Arabidopsis thaliana: one gene and its partner. The protein of the gene in region 2 interacts with the protein of the main gene of each other region in a pairwise test. Each region holds a gene or a part of one and is shown on either strand. Other genes may lie near its edges. The genes, in order: MEMB12 and PRA1.C.

Region 1 (9,925 bases), on a different chromosome or scaffold from region 2:
GAAAATCCTGATTCTCAGATGTTGTTGTCTGTTGAGTGGCTGCTTCTTCTTCAGCTACTTGTTGCTGGCTGTACTTCTCGACATACTCGGGAAATAGTTTCCGGAATGTTACACTGCCACAACAGTTTGAAAAAGATGAGAAACATAACATGTAGAAGCTATCTTGTTCTCTAATCAACTTCTGAGATGTATCCTAAACATTTTTTTGGTGGGAATGGAACTTACCTTTTACAATTGAAAGCAAGAGATGACTTCGCCAACCGTTGTTTCTCGGCTACACTAGTGTTTACACTTCCCGTTGTGGGGCTGTTATCCATCTGTGGACCACAAGGTTGTAATGCGGAAAGAAATTTAATGAACGCAATGGAGAATAAAATATCACAGTAAAAACTAAAAAAGACATTGCCATGTTAAATCAGTAAAGATCTAATGACCAAGGATAAACTGAGAGGCTCTGCAAGATGAAACGTTCCATAAGCTTACCATAAATGAGAGAAGTCCTGTAAGTATGCTGCGTTCAGGGAAACAAATTGGTCAAATAAGGATCCATTACTCTGTTTATTTTAATAACTTGAACACAATTTGAATGTACATCAGATCTTATACCTTGACACTGACCACATTGGATTCCAGCTTTCTGGATGAACTGTACATGGAATGATGGAATGATAAAGCTAATTAGATAACAGACAAGTTCATTGAAATTAATAAACAAAGGAATGAAAATGAAGACTGTGCTTACAGTCACTCATAGACAAGCAGATTTTCTTTTGCGTCACAAATCGACCATTTGGTGTGGTCATTCTGCAGCAACAGTAGTTTAGTTGATTGGAAACCAGGAATAAAACATAGGAGAGTGATATTTTAAGTGAGAATTCTGAAGAACGAAAGAGCTTACGTGATTCCAGGTGGCTTGTAAGGATATTCTGGAGGGAACTTGATCTTTCCATAGTAAAATCCACCTATCAAAGAGAATCCGGATATCAGAATCATATACTACTTTGGAATGTAGAAGATCACATTTGAAATGTAAATCTAAGATTTGAACCTGCAAAAGGCGTTCCCTCACTGCCTTCCAACACATAATCTGTAGAATAAAACCCAATAGTTCAAACTCAATTGACTACATTTATATAAATAGTGCAGTAACACTAGTAGCGAGGATAAAAATACCCTAACTTGTAGCAGAATAGCATGACCATTCTCAGTTAGGTAATAGATAAGAAAAACTTTAGGTTTACTTTTCGGTTTCTATAAACAAAGCAAGTTTTCACCATTACATATTACTGGTAATCCTGAAAACATGATACCAATAGTATCTCTGTCACCATAGCAACACGCTATATGTACCTAAAGCCAGTATCCCCATAGCCAAACCTTCAATAGAATAACTAGAAAGCAGAAAATAAAGAAAAGGAACATTAAATAGCCAGATAAGACTTACGCCATTCAAGAATGTCATTTGGGGAAGGACGAGCAACAACATGCGAGACTGGTTCCTAGCAATCCAGAACAGAACATGTCAAAGATACTTCCAAAGTAACATTCATAAGAAAAAAACTTATCCTAGACCAAAAACCATGAAAACTAGCATAGAGCAAAGAAACCACATTTGATAAAAAAAAAAATGAAAATCGAATGGGTAGAATGATACCAGTGACAGACAAATCAAGGATGGGAACAGAATAAGAAGAAAATAATACCTTGCAAAGCGCTCTGTATTCTTTTTGAAGACGCTTTATACAAGCTTTTTCTGCCATCTAAATGCTTCAGGGAGTTCCAATAAACTGTAGTTCCTGTCAACCAAAACAACGAATTGTAAACTGTAGAAAATATAATCCAACCTTTAAGTATGAAATGAATGACAGTAACATAAACCAAATTAAGGTCATCTTCGATAAAGAAACCATCCTGCTTAAGTCATACATCTGGAAAACTGACATGAACAAGCATGTATAATCTACTCCATGACATTGCCGTATAGTTAAGCTATTACTACAATCTCAAGTCACATATAGAGAAGCAACACTTCTTAAAGTATCTGTTCTAAATACAAATTGACAAATTGATACACACACACAAAAAAAGATCACCGTTCAACAAAATTGCCTAAACCCATGAAATTGTGATGAAAACAAAAAAAAAAACTTAAAATTCCAATTAAACAAAACAAACATACACACAAATATTTTGCAATCAGATAAAATTCCAAAACATATCAAAGAATATTCCCTAAAGATCCCTATTGATTTTGAGTCAATCAAGTTAATGAAATCTAAGAAAATCAGAAGAAAGAAAGAAAATAATCGGCGTACCAGTTTGATCAAAGTTTCGTTATTGGATGACCAAGTATAAATCAAAAACACAGGGAAGTGAAATCGTGACAAGGTAAGAGCAGATCCAAGGAAAGAATTGTGAAAATCGGAATCGATCAGGAGCTGGAGCTAATTTGAGATTCTCTTTCTCCGTGTGTGTTTCTCGTTGATTGATGATCAAATCATTCGTTTCTCATATTTCGACGCGGTACAGAGACAAGGAGAGAGGAAAGAGAGAGTGTCGAAATATCAAAAGGAGATTGGTTTTCCTTTAACCGGATCAAAATTATTCCAGTTGAGTCGGTTCTGTATTTAATTATAATTATCCTATCCCGGTTCGGTATTTGTCATAATCAGACCTTTGGGGAATTGACTATTTTGGTCAAAAAAAAACATTGACCATTAATACAATGATGCTAAAGTCAACTGTTTCGAATCACTTTAAATATGAACTGTCTTGAAGCTCATGTTAGTCGCCGAAGCAATGACCCAAACAAATGTAGTAGCTTCTGTGTTAAACAACGATTGCAGTCTCGGAGAAGTTTTGAACAAGTTCTCTTACACTGCGAGCAATACATCATTCTCGGATATAGGAGGAACACATCAAAAGTTGGGGAAGAAAAGTTGGCATAAATCGAGAGCATACTAGACGCAAATGAAATGGAGAATATGTGTACTAGTGTTTTGAAAATGTCTTGTAAGAGGTATAAACAAAACAAAAAAACGTGTTACAAAACTCTCTCCATACAATCTATGGTAATGTAATTAAAGTTCTCTGGTTCTAGCGTGTCCATCTTATGAAGAGATACAATATGACAAGCGTTGCGATCATACCCGCATATTTAATCCAGGTATCAACACGATTACGCCTCTCAATGAGCCTCAATACAGAGTTAGAGAGCCCAACAGTGTTCAGAACATCCAAAGCCTTCCTCTGCGCACTCTGAGAATTCAAAAACCCAATGTTAAAAAACTGTTTTCTTCATTGACTTAAAGCTTAAGTTAGGGTTTGGTTACCTTCAAACGATCCCTTTGTTCAGCATATTTAGAGAGAATAGCAACTCCACTTTGAAACGAATCTTCAAGCATTCTCTTTGAATTCTTAACAGAGTTCATTCCTTGAGCCTCCTCATCAAATATTTGCAAAATGTGAGCTCCTTCTCCACTCCCTCTACCTAACAAATCCGCTCTCTCTTTAGCTTCCAACATCTTCCTCTGATTCCTCCACATGTACTTCTCTAGACTTTGGTTCAAATACTCAGCCTCTTCTCCTACTTGTTCACTCTTCCTACAGCAAAAAAAATCCAAATGCTCAAGAGTTTAACCACTACTTCAGCTATTTTGATGATCTAAACTTCCTCACCTTCTCCAAAGATCACGCTGGGATTTGACAGGGATCGAACGCCAGAGACCGTCCATATTGGAACAAAGAGATTGAACCTCGGTAATGTCTCGTTTCACGGAGGAGGCGAGGTCGGTAGGATCAGAGTCGAACCTCTCCAACTTCTCGATTCCATTCCGAGCTCTTAGTAGAATCCTTTTTGCACTACTATATACCTCAGACAACCCTCCCACTGTCCCAGACGCCATTATACAAACCACAAAGTGACCAAGAACACCGCAGAATCTTCTTCTCTTTGCTGAATTATATCAATATCAACTTCTAATCTGGAACATATATACAAAAACATATTTAAACCAGTTTACTCAAGAATTAATAGTAATCTACATGACATTGACCTATAATTTGGCTCTTAAGTAAAACTTGAATCAAAAGTTAAGCACCTTTCAACAAGATTTGCATAAAACTTAAAATCTAATCCAGACAAATCACTCGATCACGAACCAGCAATTCGATCAAAATCCTAGAAATTATGTTAAGAAAACATCTAATCGGCAATTCATTTGATTCGATCGACTGAAACCAAGAAATTCAACAAAATCGCATTGAGAGAAATCTAAGAAAAGCTTTAGAAAAAATTTATCCGTGTACCAGTTCAATGGAGGCTTGCTTGGGTTTGGAATTTGAATTTGTTACACAAAGCAATTCGTGACCAGATCCGAGGAAAGTTTGTGAAAATCGGATGAGAAATTCTGCGAGGGATTAAAAAAGAATAGCAAGGAGTTGGTTTACTTAAACCGGGAACAAATCCCAATTAAGCAGACGCGCTTGGCTGGTTCTGTTTACAATTCGGTTTTGTAAACAAACACAAGAAATGTAACAAATTAATCAAAGAAAAAAAATGTTCTAAAAATCACGATATTTTTTTTGTTTCTAGTAATCACAATGGTTTCTCCCTTTTCATAAATGGCAAATCTCCCATAAAACCATCTTTTGTATTTTCTATTTTTTCATGGTTATTTTCCTTTATAAAAAAAAAGGGATATCATATGTACATTGTATGGTTTTTAGTATTCTCATAAAATAAAATGTCTTTTGAATTTAAAAGAAAAGAAAAACACTAAATATGAGTTCAGATTTATGAGCTAATTCTAAAAACACTAAAAAATCCGGCCGGTAATTTGAGTTCAAAAACACTAAAAACACTAAATATGAGCTCAGAAAAGAAAAACAATTCGACCGGTAATTTGAACAAAAATAAATAAATCCGAACGATAAAAAATTAAGGAATTGCTAATTAGCCTCTACGGGATCATTGGGGGATTGACACTATCATGGTCAAAGATTGATCAAACAAGCTGTCCATATAATGGTTTGATTAACATAGTTATTACTCCAGCAAGATTTAGCTTAAATACGATTTTTAGGTGTGTATATTTTAAAGTTCTTTTGTTTACATCATAACGTTCTCATAAAAAGTGGATATAAAAAAAAAAGTATATATATATATATATATATATATATATATAAGTTTCACTTTTTCAAAATTGTGCCAGTTGTAAAAGAAACGCAGCCCATGCTAATGAAAAAGTTCCAAGGTATAGTAGTAGTAGCTTCACCTAAAACAATTTGACAAAGATATATTCTTTTTATTATTTATTAGTTTCCGATTTTAATGCAAATAATTATTGAAAATTTGTATTAGTTTACATTGTTAAAAATATGTTTGATTAGAAGAAGATCTTAAATTTTATAAAACTTTCTCTAGTACGTAAAACTCAAACTCTCAAATATATGAAAATTTTGTTTTGCAATTTTCCCATGCAAGTGACTCAAGTCCCAAATATTTGACTGTCTTCTTCTCGCTCGTCCAGTCGTCCCTATAAAGCTTGTTAGGAAAACAAAAATAAAAATGAATGAAAATAATGTTGATGCCTTAGCAATTAGCATAGAGACAAAACACAGCCTGTTAATGTTTTACCTGCAACTTTTGAGATCTCATGAAGTTGGATTTACTAATATTGGTAAACACATAAATAAACGTGTATACATGTGCTTGTATGAAAGTGAGGACACTCTCAACATCAGTGAATGTTCCATAAATTAGTTGATTAAGATAAAAAAAATATCTCAGCATCTGAAATAAATGATTCGGAGAAGAAAAATTAATTCACGTGATCAGATCTCAAAAAAAGTCGCAGGACAATACATACATATCTTACAAAGCCAACAAGCTTTACAAGTTGTCTTTCTCTATCTCCTTCTCTTTAAGACTTTAACTCATCATATTTCTACCTAAAAGTTTTCTCAAGACCTAAAAGAGAATTCACAAATGAAGAGATTCCATCCATCAAGATCGATCTCAATAGCTCTGTTTCTGGTTTTGTTAGCTTTCTTTAGCAGCAAGTTTCACATAGAGGGACATAGAGATTTGAGAGATTTGCAAATAAGCAAAGAGATGAAGCAGAAGTCTCTTGGAGGTGAAGGAGATAGCTTACGGAAAATCCCGAGGAGTCGCTATAGCCCCATACAGAACAAGTAAGTACACGATCAAATATTTTCCAATCTTTTCACACACAAAAAAAACTAAATTATTTGAGATTTTGACATCAAGATTGTGTATTTTTGTACCAGGAGAGGTCCAAGTAGGAAACATCAGATCACATCACATGAACCATAGATTTCATCTCTAGTTTTTTATTTAGATCTTCTGATTTTTTGTATTTTTTTTTTGTTGTAGAATAGTATTGCCTACACTTGTTTGTGAATGCAGCAATGTAGAGTTTGATACTGTTACTATTCTTAGAATGTTTTTTTCTTTTCTTACTGGAAAGTCTTACTCTGATACTGTTCTATTGAGTCAAGGCTCTTTGTTTAGACCTCTAAGGAGTGTTTATTGGATTTTGTAGATTTTGCAACATCTTGAAGCTTATATTTGTATTTATTACTTGACTTTGTATCTGTTGTTTCACCGCATTTGTTCTTCCTCTGTTTTGTTCGATTTTCATCATGTATCTGCTCGTCTTGATTTCAACTGATCAGATTCTGTTGTCATAACAACAACAAAGAAATGGTATTGTAGGGTTTCAAATGAATGAAGTTAATAACATATATATCACCTCTCACAAAATGCCCTCGATGTAAAAAGAAACATGCACAAGAAAACTTGAGAAATTTCTTGAAGGATCAAACTAAATTAGTTACCGAGTAAATAGATGCCGTGGAACATTAGAGTTGTAAGTTACTGACTTACTAGTATGAGAGAAGAATGACTTCCTTTGTTCAATAAGATCATTGGAGATAAACTAATATAACCATATCTGTATACAAACTTTCATGAGCCACTACTTCTAAAATCGCCTAAAATGGATATTTAAAAAGAGTTGTAACAAAATGAAAAACTCCAAATCACATCATGGAAGCCAACAGAAAACGGTTTTCCAATTGTAGAAGTGATTGAGAATAAACAAACAGTTTAGACAGACATAAGAGATACTGAGTTACTGATGATGAATTCAAAGATATTTCATGTCATCCTACTAAATTTGTTTAGGGGTTTCTCACTTTTGTTTCTTTGTTTTTACCTTATGTTCCAAACTTCAATCTTACAGAAGCTGCAACAAGGATTGAAGTCCAAGAAGTATGCTTTATGTTACTTTGATAAGGAATAAGAATTTAAGAGCTTCAAGCGTGGATAGTTTAGTGTTGTTGTTACTTCTTCTCATACTATCTATGAATTCAAAACATGAAACAAATTTACTGCAATGTTGGAAGCGATCGTTTGTTTGTCATATCAACCATGATGTATCTTATAAAACAGATAATGTGTGCGAGGAAAAAAAAAAAAAAAAAAAACACAGATAATGTGTGCAACTTAAAGTAGAAGTTATTGTGGACATTGTGTAATTATATTTGATACAAAAAGGCTAGAGAGAAAAATCAAAGGGTCTTAACGAGAAAGAAGAGATAGCTAGGTCCCAACAGGAACAAAAGAAACATTGTCTAGAGAGTAATGGTTTATAATTTTAGTTTTAAGTTCCAACCAGAAGAAGCTGGAGCAGCTTGGGGCAACACAGCTATGTCCCATCCATCTGTTGCTGGAGCCACATGAACTACAAAAAAGACACACAACTTACAAAAGCATTAACATCGAAATCAGACTCAAAAGCATTAAGGATCTTTGTCCAAACTTACCACTTGCAGGAGCAGGTGCAATTGGATGATTAGCTTCATCATCATCCAACATTCCTAGTTAGTGGTCGTCTCTTCAGGCTCCTTGTACTAGAAGAGGTTGTTCTATACAACGAACGTACCATATGATTATTGATCAATACGAATTCATGTAACCACATCATGATCAAACTCTCCAATATTGGAGCTTGAGAGATATTCCCCTTACAATGACGTCCACCACATGATGTCTTTCAGTCTTTGTGAGTTCTAAACCGCAACGATAACTCCAGCCATTTGCTAATTGCTACCGCTTCTTCTTTGATGTTTTAGCCATATTGTAATTTCGGTTCATGATTACCGAATTTCTGTGCTTCCTCTTATCGAGCCAAGAACCGAAATCAAACCAAATTGAACAAACTTTAGTTCGGTTCGGTCCAAAAGTCCAGGCTAGTTTCGCTTTTCATTGATTTCTCGTGCCATTCTCTAAAAGATTCTGAATTTTGGCAGCCTTGGCCTTGAGCCTCTTGTCTTATTGGTACTTTTTGGGTAAATAAACGAAAATACCAAATTTGTAGCTTTCTGTTGGAGTTAAATCTTAATATCGATTTTGAAGATTAATTGTTTTACGTCTGTATTATATATGCTTCTTGTGTACGAATTGAAATTACGTAATTTGATGGTGGAATACATGTTTTATTTTTGTTTGACAAAATTGATGGCTATTTGTCAACATACTTCCATCAAAAAATATCATGAAATAATTATATGCTTGGTTCTTGGAAATACTAAAAGTTTGTATTCGTATCTGTATCGTATAAATGAGTTAAAACCTTTTAAGATTTATTTCTATATTCAGCATTATACTTTTCTACAGATATTTATCTCATAAGATAATAAGTCACACCTTTGCGACCCCAGTTCATGGTATATGTAACGGCAAAAAACTATATTATTTAAAATAACATGCCAGTTTAGTATCAGAAGATTCAGAAACGCCATTAGCCAAAACTAATTAATTAAGAGAAGAAATTAACATTAAATTTTTTAAAACATAATTAAATAACCCAAAAAAAAAAAAACTCAACAGTCAAAGAAACTGTTGGCATTTCAGTCATTTCCTTGAAAAAAAGCGTTAGAGCCGTTACCGCTCACCATGATTATCATCAATCTCCACCGCCACCGCTTCACCGTCGTCGCCAATCTCCGCCGCTGCCGCAACCCACAAATCCAACGGCGTACATTCAACCTTATGCTTCGCTCTCCAATCCAACGCCTGACAACCACGCGAGCAATAATTAACCTTCCCACAAACAGAACATCGCCGAAACTCATGAGCCCGAGTCTCCGGCCTTCCACAACCACCATGCGAACACATCCTTAACCCTTCCGCTAAATCAACCCGACCCGAACTAAACCACTCTTTTAAAAACCGGTTAACCGGATGAATCTCCTGAACCGGAACCACGCTTAAATCAGTTAAGGTCTCGTTCTCGTCCCCAGATTTCAGAGAGAGGTAAGAGCGTAGAGAACACGCGAGCTCACGCGCGTTAGCTTGAATCAAAAGACGACGACCTTCGGAGACGTCACGAGGAACACCGTAACCGTCTTGAAGACAGTGACCAAGCTCTCGTAACGCATCGACGTGGCCTAAATAAGCAGAGCGTGCACAAAGAGCAACGCCGGCGCGTAGATTCTTATCGGTTTTTGAACCGCCGCTTCCGTTAAACTGAATCACCGATAACGAATAAAGCGCCGGCGCGTGTGATTTAATCGCCGCTTTAGCCATTAATGACGCGCCGCTCACTGGATTTTGTAGACAGTAAAATCGGATCTGAAGAAGAACAAAAACCAAAATCAGATTTCAGAAGAAACTCACGAAAAATCGAAACGGAGAATTTGAAGATTGCGAACGAACCATTCCGAGAGAGTACGAAGCGTCGATGTTTCCGGCATTAACACAGAGTTTGAGGAATTTATGAGAAGAATCTGACCATTTCTCCGCCGTGACGGCTAGGGTTTGAGTACCGGCTTTAGATAAAACCAGAGGATGTAATCCTAACCGATTCAATCTCTTGCATCTGTAACGACAAAAAGA
Region 2 (9,163 bases):
TTAAGTGTAGGGCCCTAACGGCGGCAAACAAATCGAACGCACAGTATAGCAAGTGTCCGTCAGGGGTGGCGCTGATTTGCGAAGGGGAAGTTTACGGAGGATGGTGCATTGAATCGGCGGCGTATAACCTTAGTTTGGGACCAGTACAAGCGGCGCTTGTTGATTTTATGGCTCGTGGCGAAGGCAAAGGGTTTGAGATGATCACTGGAGCTGTGCTGGTGGAGATGAATGATGCGAAAGTGAGTCAAGAGGCCACTGCGAGGATTCTTTTGAAGACTATAGCCCCCGGGTGCAATTTCAGTGTCTTCCGTTGTCACAAGACCGCAGAAAATTGAAGCATGTTTATGCTGCCTTGATGATAGATTACTGATGCGTATACTAAAGATGATAGATAAAAAATGCTAATATAAAGGAAACTAACCCAGTGGGGGAATTACACATGCATATTCTGGTGATTAAAACTTATGATGATAAAATAGTATTAATCATAATTATGTTATGTTTTGGGCTTCTTCTTTGGTTTTATGTATTGTTACCTTAATTACCTTTTAAATAATGTCAATGCATAATCTTTCACGATGTCAATTCACTTTGCACTTAGAAATGTCACTGTTTTTGTTTGTCACAATACTTGGCTCCAAACGAATAATATTCTGAATTGCTTTTGTCATTACGAATAACATATTGTTCTATAAACCTACGATTATCCGATTTTTTTCCTACATTAGATACGGACCTTATTAAATCATATATTATTGTGTCTTCTGTTTATGATAAAATTAAAATAAGAATCTGACGTAATAAAGTTATCGAACCTTTTTTGGTTTTGCAGAAGCAAAAAAAAGTAGTAAAATAGATATCTTTGCATGAATCTCCATTAGTTGGTAAAATAAAAGTCTCACTTCCAAACGTATCGAAGTAGAGAATAATGTGGTCCACTGACCAATGGCAAAACTCCTACTAAGTGCGCAATTGGATAATAAGAATTTAGAAGGGTTGAATTTAAGGATTATATATTTGTTTTTCACAGAAGATGGTAACAGCTTCCATGAACTCCTAAAAGTCTTATTACAAAAGTATAAAGATTTATTTAATTTCCACATTTTTGTTTTTACTATATTCAATACCATGAAAATGTGACGAACTACAACTATTGAATTATTATTTAATTACTACTCTTTAGCACATTCCTTTCTAGTTTCTACTAAGCTACTAAAGTAATCCTAACTACTATGAAACAAATTTTCTTTGGAAAAAAGGTCACGAGTCATTATGCATCTTGAATAATTTTCTTATTTTATATATTTACTATTCATACCATGAAAATGTATTAAAGTAAAATTATTTCATTGATTTTGACCACTCTAATTTCTACTAAACTACCAACGTAATCCTAACTACTTTTTGTTTGCTTTGAAAACTGGTTCATGAGTTAATTTCAACAAGAAAAAAAGAAAAATGGTTCCTGAATCACACATGAATCTTATAATGTAATCACTCAATCTAGTTTGTATGTTGTAATCTTACATACGAGGTAAAGACATCGAAGTAGAGAATAACGTGGTCCATTGAGCAAACTCCTGCTAAGTGTTAGGGCCGGCTCAACACTATCAAAGGCCCTAGGGCAAAATAACATTTTGGGCCCATAAAACCTTTTTTGGGTCTTTTAGTATATAAAAAAAAAGGGGAGATTTTTATAAATGTACCAAATTTTATTAAAATCTTGAACAATATACCCAATATATGGATATTTGAAAACTACAGATTTTTTATTGAAGTTTTACCATAATTAAATATAATGGATAAAATTAATTGACATTTTCTAAAATAGTTTGAATATCTAATTTCTTAAATATAAACAGTTTAGTTTAAAAATAAAATTTGTTATAACTAATTAATCAATTTATTTAGTGTCTTATTTCTAATGGTTTCTATTTATTAAGGACAAACATGTCATTTTAAAACCAATATAAAATATATTTCAAATAGTGTAATATTATAGTGTAGATTTCAAATTAATACTAAAATATAAGGTATACAATCAAATTAATCCTAAAGTAAAACACTTCTGCAAAATTTATATAACTAGTTGTTTATAATCATATGCCAATAATCACAATACAATAACTTCTTAAAAGCAAATCTAAATGTAATGTCAGAACAATATAAATCTAGGAATTTCCAATGTTACATGAAACAGAGAAGATTTTTTACATATTGGTACATCAAGCTCTACATTCAAGATATCTTTCGAATAATGTATATATTAGCTTAACTTGCGAGAGGGTAAAACCCCAAAGATTCAATAAAGAAACCCTAAATTGAAGCCCAAGAAATTCAATAACGATACCCTAAATTGAGACACGAAAACCTTGAATAAAGCGAAATCAAAATAAAAATTGAGGCATAACAAAGCTATATATACTAGTGAATAAAGAATCCCTGCTTCACATTGACCAAGAAACCACAAATTTGAAACAAAAATCATGACGAAGAGGTTAGACTTTGAACTTAATCATATTCAAAACTTACACTTCTACTATACAAATGAACCATAAACTCTACATCACACTACATATCTATAGAAGTTCCATCAAACCACAATGATACCGCTGCTGCTTCCCTCCATCTCTTGCTCCTTCCATCTCTTTACAAGTTCTAATACACTTGTGTCCTCCCTGTCGTTGTCTACGATTTCACTAGGCTTCCAAGTGTCACAGAGTGAGGTAAGTGTAGAGACAACATACTTCATCTCTGGTCTCTGAGTGAGCTCCTTGGCGCAGCAGTGAATTGCTAGTCTCGCTACGTCGTCAATGATGTTGCGGTTCTCTTCATTCACTTAAATTGTTTCGTCAATGGCTTCTCTAAAAGAGTTTTTGTCGATGCAGACTCTCCTGAACCAACTGAGAATGTGATGTTCAGCATCTGATCGCTTCTTGTCTAAAGCTTCCTTGCTTGTGACTAACTCCATGAGAATAACTCCAAAACTGTAGACATCAGCTTTTGTAGTTACCCTTCCAATCAATGCACTTACAAAGTTTAAGCTGTTAGATAACAATAACATTGGTGATCCGATGTAATAAACATTAACAGATTAGAGAAGAAGCATACATGCGTATTCAGGTGCCATGTAACCATATGTGCCGAGGATAGACTTTGTCATGATTGATTCGTTGCCCTCTGCTGTAGATCGGGTCAAACCAAAATCTGAAACCCTACAAAAAAACAAAAACTTTTAAGAGAAAAATAACGGTAATATCGATTGGACTACTTTTTTCGATCAGCTTTTTTGTAAAATTTGAGGATATTAAATGATCGTATTTAAAATTATTGTCAAAATACTTAGATTTGTTATTTTTGATCCAAAAAGTTCAAAAATATATATAAAGCATGATAATAACGAAATAATAAACAATACATCCTCAAACCAACTATTTTAAAATGCATAGAGTTTGGAGGAATAAGGAGAAATCTTGAAAATTTATATATATTTTGCTTGTAGTTTGCTTTTGTTTTTCTTATGTTTTATCTTCTTTTTTTGCTTTAAATTAAACATGATTAACAAACTTTATATTTTGGTAATTCTAGAACACTATAACATATTAAAAAAATTATAAACAAAATAATTCTTCATAGACAATATAAACCTATGTAATTATCTCTTTGAAATAAATAAATTAAATATGTTTATTAGGAATAAGTCTTAGTTGGTTTTGCTTAACATTTACCAAATGTAAAAATATTGTATTCACTCTGGGACTAGGCCGGTTGATATTAGCGAGACGTCTAAACCACCTCAGATATTTTAGAGAGTTCCTTTTAAACACTTATCTCTTTTACAATTATCTAATTTTTTTACTAAAATAAAAATTTAATTGTATAATCAAATTATAGTAAAATATTAATATTTTTTTTATTTGAGAATTTTTTGGGGTTCTCTTTGTTGGAGATGGTCTAACTACTTCTTCATGTCGTGTCTAAAAAGTAAAATGGTATATATAGCCAAATCCCTATTGCATTTGAACTTGATAATTGTTGTGATAAAATTAAAAACTAGATCATTGTTCATATAAAGTTACAACCTTTCAATTCGTAATTGTTGAAAATGAGAGAATCGATTGGATAATTTGTAATAAGTGATAACTGAGAAGAGGATCACACTTGTCTTCGTTATTGTATTGGCTTGTTGGAGATAATTAGATAGGAATTCTATCATAGGATAATGTTTTTAATCAGCACGCAAAATTGCCTTTTATTTGTCACCAAGGTCTCTGACATGCATCAGTACATCAATATCCACATCCTGAATTTTGATCGCAAAAGAGCTCAAGTTCTTTTTGCAGCATGTTAACGTTCCTTCACTGGATATGCGTTGTTTTGAACTATGTAGACAAATTCAGGAAAGAAAAACTGAAAATCTTGTGCTCAATTGTGAAGACTTAAGAGGAAGAAGAAAGTGACGAAGATGATGTGTTCATTGCCACTTTCTCTTCATCATCTTCCAAGACGAACAACATCTCTGTATTCCTCCTACACATGCCATGAACCAGAACAACGGGCAAACCAGCCAAAACCCCGATCACAATACCGCGGGATACATCTGTTAGTAGAAATATACCGATCGTGAGGACCAACAAAACCAGCACCAAAGTAGAATCATCGATCACACTGCCAAATATCACCCATGGTTCATTATCACGGGAGTAGACATATAGCCATGCTACTATCAAGATAACAAAGACGGAAAGGTGGACGGGTTGCCAAAGCATGCTGATGAAGATACTAACAATGAAGATAACAATGTAGTTGGTTCGAAAGATCATGATGTTGGATTTGATTCGTTCAGTGGCAACGCTAAAGGAGATAGGAAGGCTAAAGGCACTACATTGGACAAGTTCAAGCCATGGCCTTTGAGAGCTAAGACCTAACGAGATCAATTCTTTGGCTCGTCCTAATAAGCTCAGGCTCGACGAAGCATTTTCTTGGGATGGTATAGTGCCATAGGTTGTCATATTCTTTCACAAGCAACAAACAAAAAAAAAAAGGAAGGAAAGAAACAGAGTACGTCCCCAGAGGAATCTATATGGACTAAAGAATGTGAAGCAACCTAATTTGAAGAGAAAAATCTGTGTTGGCTCAATGTTTCTGAGGTAGTTAGATCATCTATCTTATTTGGGAATGTTTTATTTCAGGACACCAGAAGAGAGGCAGATACAAGCAGAGATATTCAAAGGAATGAATGGATACCCTTAAACTTCTCAAATCAAATCCTTATACTATAACGAGACTGTCATTACATGTAATTTCTAGAAAATAGATTCTTAAGAGAGTCATTAGACTCGAAATACAGACACAAACATTCTACTGAACCAAAAGAAGTTTTTTGATATACATATACTAGTGAACCAGTATAAATCCATTTATATCTGCGTATCAAAGTCGGAGATACATCCTTCACCATAGTCTCTGATAGCCTAATCGTTAGCTTCACTGGCTGCTAGCATCTGAAGCAATAGCCTCACCACGATAAACTCTCCATGGTCCTCGATAGAATACTGGCTTCATCAGAGGCACTGTTTTCCCTGGGTGCTCTTCCCAAAACTTCTCCTGTTTACAGAGAGTGGAGTAACATAAAGTTCACACTCAAACAAGAAACATAACTGATACTAACACAAAACAGTGTAAGAAACACATTGACAAAGAATACAATATACTACAGAACAATGAATTAGATTAGATACTAATCAAGACGTAAAAGCTTCATTGAAAGACCTAATGAACCATTCCCATGAAAAGCAATTCAAGTATAGTTCTTTTCATGATCACACAATCCTTTATTAGTAATCAACAATGAATCATTTCCAATTTTATCACATTTCGAACCCTAACATTTACCAATCACGAGAATCAAATTAGAACCCACAAATCTAATAGCAATTCCGGGCCTGAATCGATAACAATACGAAGCTGACCTTGTAGAGCTGCTCTGTAACTGCAGCGCCGATGACGCCGGTGTAAAAGGCGGCGACATAGATAGTAATCAAAGTTGTGAAGGTTTTTGGTCGACGGTAAGGTTCGATCATTTCCCAAACAGCAAATCTCTCGAACTTATTGTACTTATAATCAGCATATTTCCTCCATAGTTGGCTCCACACTCCTTGCATCTCTCAGATTTCTCTCTTCTCAAACCTTCGCCGAATTTTGGATTTCTCCGTCTAGCTGTTTCGCGGCGGCGCGTGGGAACCTGAGAAAAATCTGATATCAAAAGGCAAGACTTTAAACGTTAAAACGTTTACCAAACAGTCCTCTTATTCCTACATGTTTTAGTTTTCAGCCCTTAACTTATCTTTAACACTTAAAAGTCTTGAGCTCACATTTGTAAATTTTTAAAAAATCTTATTTGATATGATTCTTGTAAATTTGTAAATTGTAATCACAACACATGATTATTGTAACCATTGTGCTATGTATTTGTTTTTCACTATCGTTCGGTAAGTTGAGAAAGTTATAAATTTACCCCAAAACTATGGAAATGAGACTTATGCAACCTCACATGACTTCATCAATAAGCTTGCTTTAAAGCAATAAAGAACAGCAGTAGTGAAAATACATTTGCAATTGACTATTAGCAGAAGAATCGTAACTGGCTTTAGGAAGTATTCTTTTACACCCAAAAATATGACGATATACAGAATTTTAAGCTGAGTATTTGCTTGAGCAACCAAAGATTGTTGCCTTAGTAATATATCTAAAAATCTGGCACTTCAACTTGATGCAGCTGGTTTGGCTAATGTTAAGCCTTCAGGTACCTTGGCTGGACCGAGGCTGCAACGATCGGTATTGTGCAGTTGGATTGCATCTTTTATCTTCTGAAACTGAATACACACAAATATTCAAAAGAAGAGGATGTCAAATAGTAATCAGAGACAGACCAAATGCATTCAACCGGTTTTGGTATCAATATCAGCAAAGGGTCTATAATATTTGATAGATCCTATCGAAAAAGAACAACGAAGTAGTTCTCTTTGTTTGAAGCGTTATGCCAAGCTCTAGTTGCGGAAAAGGTGAAACCGAAATAGCCTTCTTTACCTTAGCAAGAGAACATGAGAATGACTCAAGCTGACCATCAGCTCCACGGTAAAAGTGGAAAAAAGGAAGCACTCTCACGTTCAAACTCTTGCACATCGGTTTATTCTCATCAAAGTTTACTTTAAGGAACACTATATCGGGATGTTCCACCGCTGTCTTGCAAAGCTGAAAACATTTTCAAAACAGACACAAAAAAAACATCTAAATTTCTCACAGAATCACGAAAGAGAAATGAAACTCTTATAGTTTCATGGAATAGATACGTCACATGACACTAACCTTTGGGAACAATGCTCTGCAAGAAGCACACCAAGTTCCATAAAACTCTACAATAACTAATCTTTCACCCGCACCGCTTAAAGCGCTCAAGAACTCTTCAGTAGAATGAATATCGACCATGTTTGGAGCATTCCTCTCCCACCATTTCGGTGGCTCTGTCTCGGCTACATTTTCATCTACCTACACCACAAACCCACATCAGAAACATAAAACTATGGCCGAAAGCATCACCATCTAATCAAAGCAATCAATAGCATCACCGTCTCTAACAAAAAAACTGAAACTTTAGACTAAATTCTAAACATCTGAAGTGGAATGAGAACATAACAGTGAGCTAAGGTCACAATTCACGTTTAGGCTCTAGCTAGAGGCGAAAGACCAAATCGAATAACAAGAGATCAGAAATGGGCTCAAGAGTCTCAATTTCCAAAAGGGTATACGATTTACGGACAGAATCAGCTAAAAGGCAAGACATTTGTACCTTGACACGAACCACTTGGCTCTTGGGTCGTCTAAGGGGGAGATGGCTTCCGAGACCAGAAGATGGGTGGTAATGAGAAGACGAGCAGGAAGGAGAAGATGAGAGAAGACGCAATCTCTTGTCGGAATTCAGATTCGAGTTTGGAGGTAAGCAAGGTTGCAGAGGATTAAGAGCGGTGGCAAAGGAGCTGAAGGACGAGGAGACACGAATGGCTTGAACCGACGTCGTCGTTAATCGCACAACTCCAGCCATCTAAATGCACCCAGAGAGAGAGATAGAGACTGAGATTGTTCTTGGTTTTGAATCTTCTCCGAGAGATCCTCTAAGGAGAAGAAGATCAGAAACTGTCTGGTTCAGATTCCAGTGATATTTCTCTCATCATGTCTCTCCAATTATACATAGACGCGATTTTTCAACATTAAATAGCGTTTAAACCGCCATCATCCACTTGGCGTTTTGTCGATATGATAGTTGAAAAAGCGTAAACGCGTTTTTGTTTCTCCGTTAGAATCGTGTTTTAACACGGAACGCAGATAAGTAATGCTTTTTTCTTTACACACATAACAAACTTATTTACTTAAATGCCATCTATGTTTATTTGTTATTTGGATCCCAACTTTAATTGATGTACAAACACAGAAAAATCTAAAGAAAAATATCAAATTTGAAGGCGATTTGGGTTTAATTAGATTCGTATTTTTGATCAATCAAGTCTAGCATATACTTAGGTTTGATAAGTTTTCTACTTTCGATCACGATTTTAAAAGAGGAAGGTTCTTGTTATAAGGATTTAAGTGAATCTGTTCTGTTCCAATAAACTAAGCAAGTAATGAAAGAAAAAACATAACATGTGATGCAACAAAATCATTGCAAGAAAATAGGACACATCGGTGATAAGTGTTGATAATTCCAACATACACTAAATTGTTTCCAATTATTGGCAAAGAATCGAGTATCCAATTCAAAGCATTGTTTCTTTGAAGGAAAGTACAAAGCTTCCAATCTTGGCATCAAATGTCAAGACAAGTTTCATACTCCGAAATACTACAATACGTTTTAGTGCAACTTCGTGATGAAATCATACAAAAACAGCAATCAGATCAAAACGCATAAAACGTCTAAGAGGTCAAACGCGTTTATGTTTTGACAACAAAGTCTCAAGAGTCTAGACTGCCTTTTATTGACAGAAGAATAAACTTACCCTACTCTTCTACACGCGTGGCAAGAGAATGCTTGAAGAAAACTCATCAGATCCATTGTTTGGTGCTGCCTTAAGTCCTAGAATCGAACTGATCACATTGTATATCTGAACAT

What was found.
Region 1: the proteins of PRA1.C (region 2) and MEMB12 interact in a protein complementation assay, tested with the Arabidopsis thaliana proteins (one large-scale study listed by BioGRID).

Annotation. Positions count from the first base shown.
Region 1 is NC_003076.8:20,534,548-20,544,472, forward strand, and holds MEMB12 (membrin 12), read right to left. Parts: upstream 4,450-9,925; 5' UTR 4,309-4,449; intron 4,013-4,308; exon of another isoform or gene 3,984-4,012; 5' UTR 3,906-3,983; coding exon 3,679-3,905; intron 3,604-3,678; coding exon 3,333-3,603; intron 3,259-3,332; coding exon 3,097-3,258; 3' UTR 2,879-3,096; downstream 1-2,878. Other genes in the region: UBC33 (ubiquitin-conjugating enzyme 33), read right to left, coding at 1-113, 226-317, 484-511, 607-646, 743-804, 899-962, 1,049-1,087, 1,445-1,499 and 1 more; AT5G50443 (uncharacterized protein), read left to right, coding at 5,990-6,195, 6,292-6,337; AT5G50450 (HCP-like superfamily protein with MYND-type zinc finger), read right to left, coding at 8,972-9,661, 9,746-9,908. UniProt on the Arabidopsis thaliana protein: Involved in transport of proteins from the cis/medial-Golgi to the trans-Golgi network.
Region 2 is NC_003075.7:14,529,008-14,538,170, forward strand, and holds PRA1.C (prenylated RAB acceptor 1.C), read right to left. Parts: upstream 5,067-9,163; 5' UTR 5,013-5,066; coding exon 4,440-5,012; 3' UTR 3,930-4,439; downstream 1-3,929. Other genes in the region: AT4G29650 (Cytidine/deoxycytidylate deaminase family protein), read left to right, coding at 1-335; AT4G29654 (Protein kinase superfamily protein), read right to left, coding at 2,594-2,829, 2,905-3,044, 3,136-3,207, 3,419-3,447; EMB2752 (embryo defective 2752), read right to left, coding at 5,488-5,607, 5,973-6,164; ACHT2 (atypical CYS HIS rich thioredoxin 2), read right to left, coding at 6,976-7,254, 7,369-7,548, 7,850-8,101; AT4G29680 (Alkaline-phosphatase-like family protein), read right to left, coding at 9,060-9,163.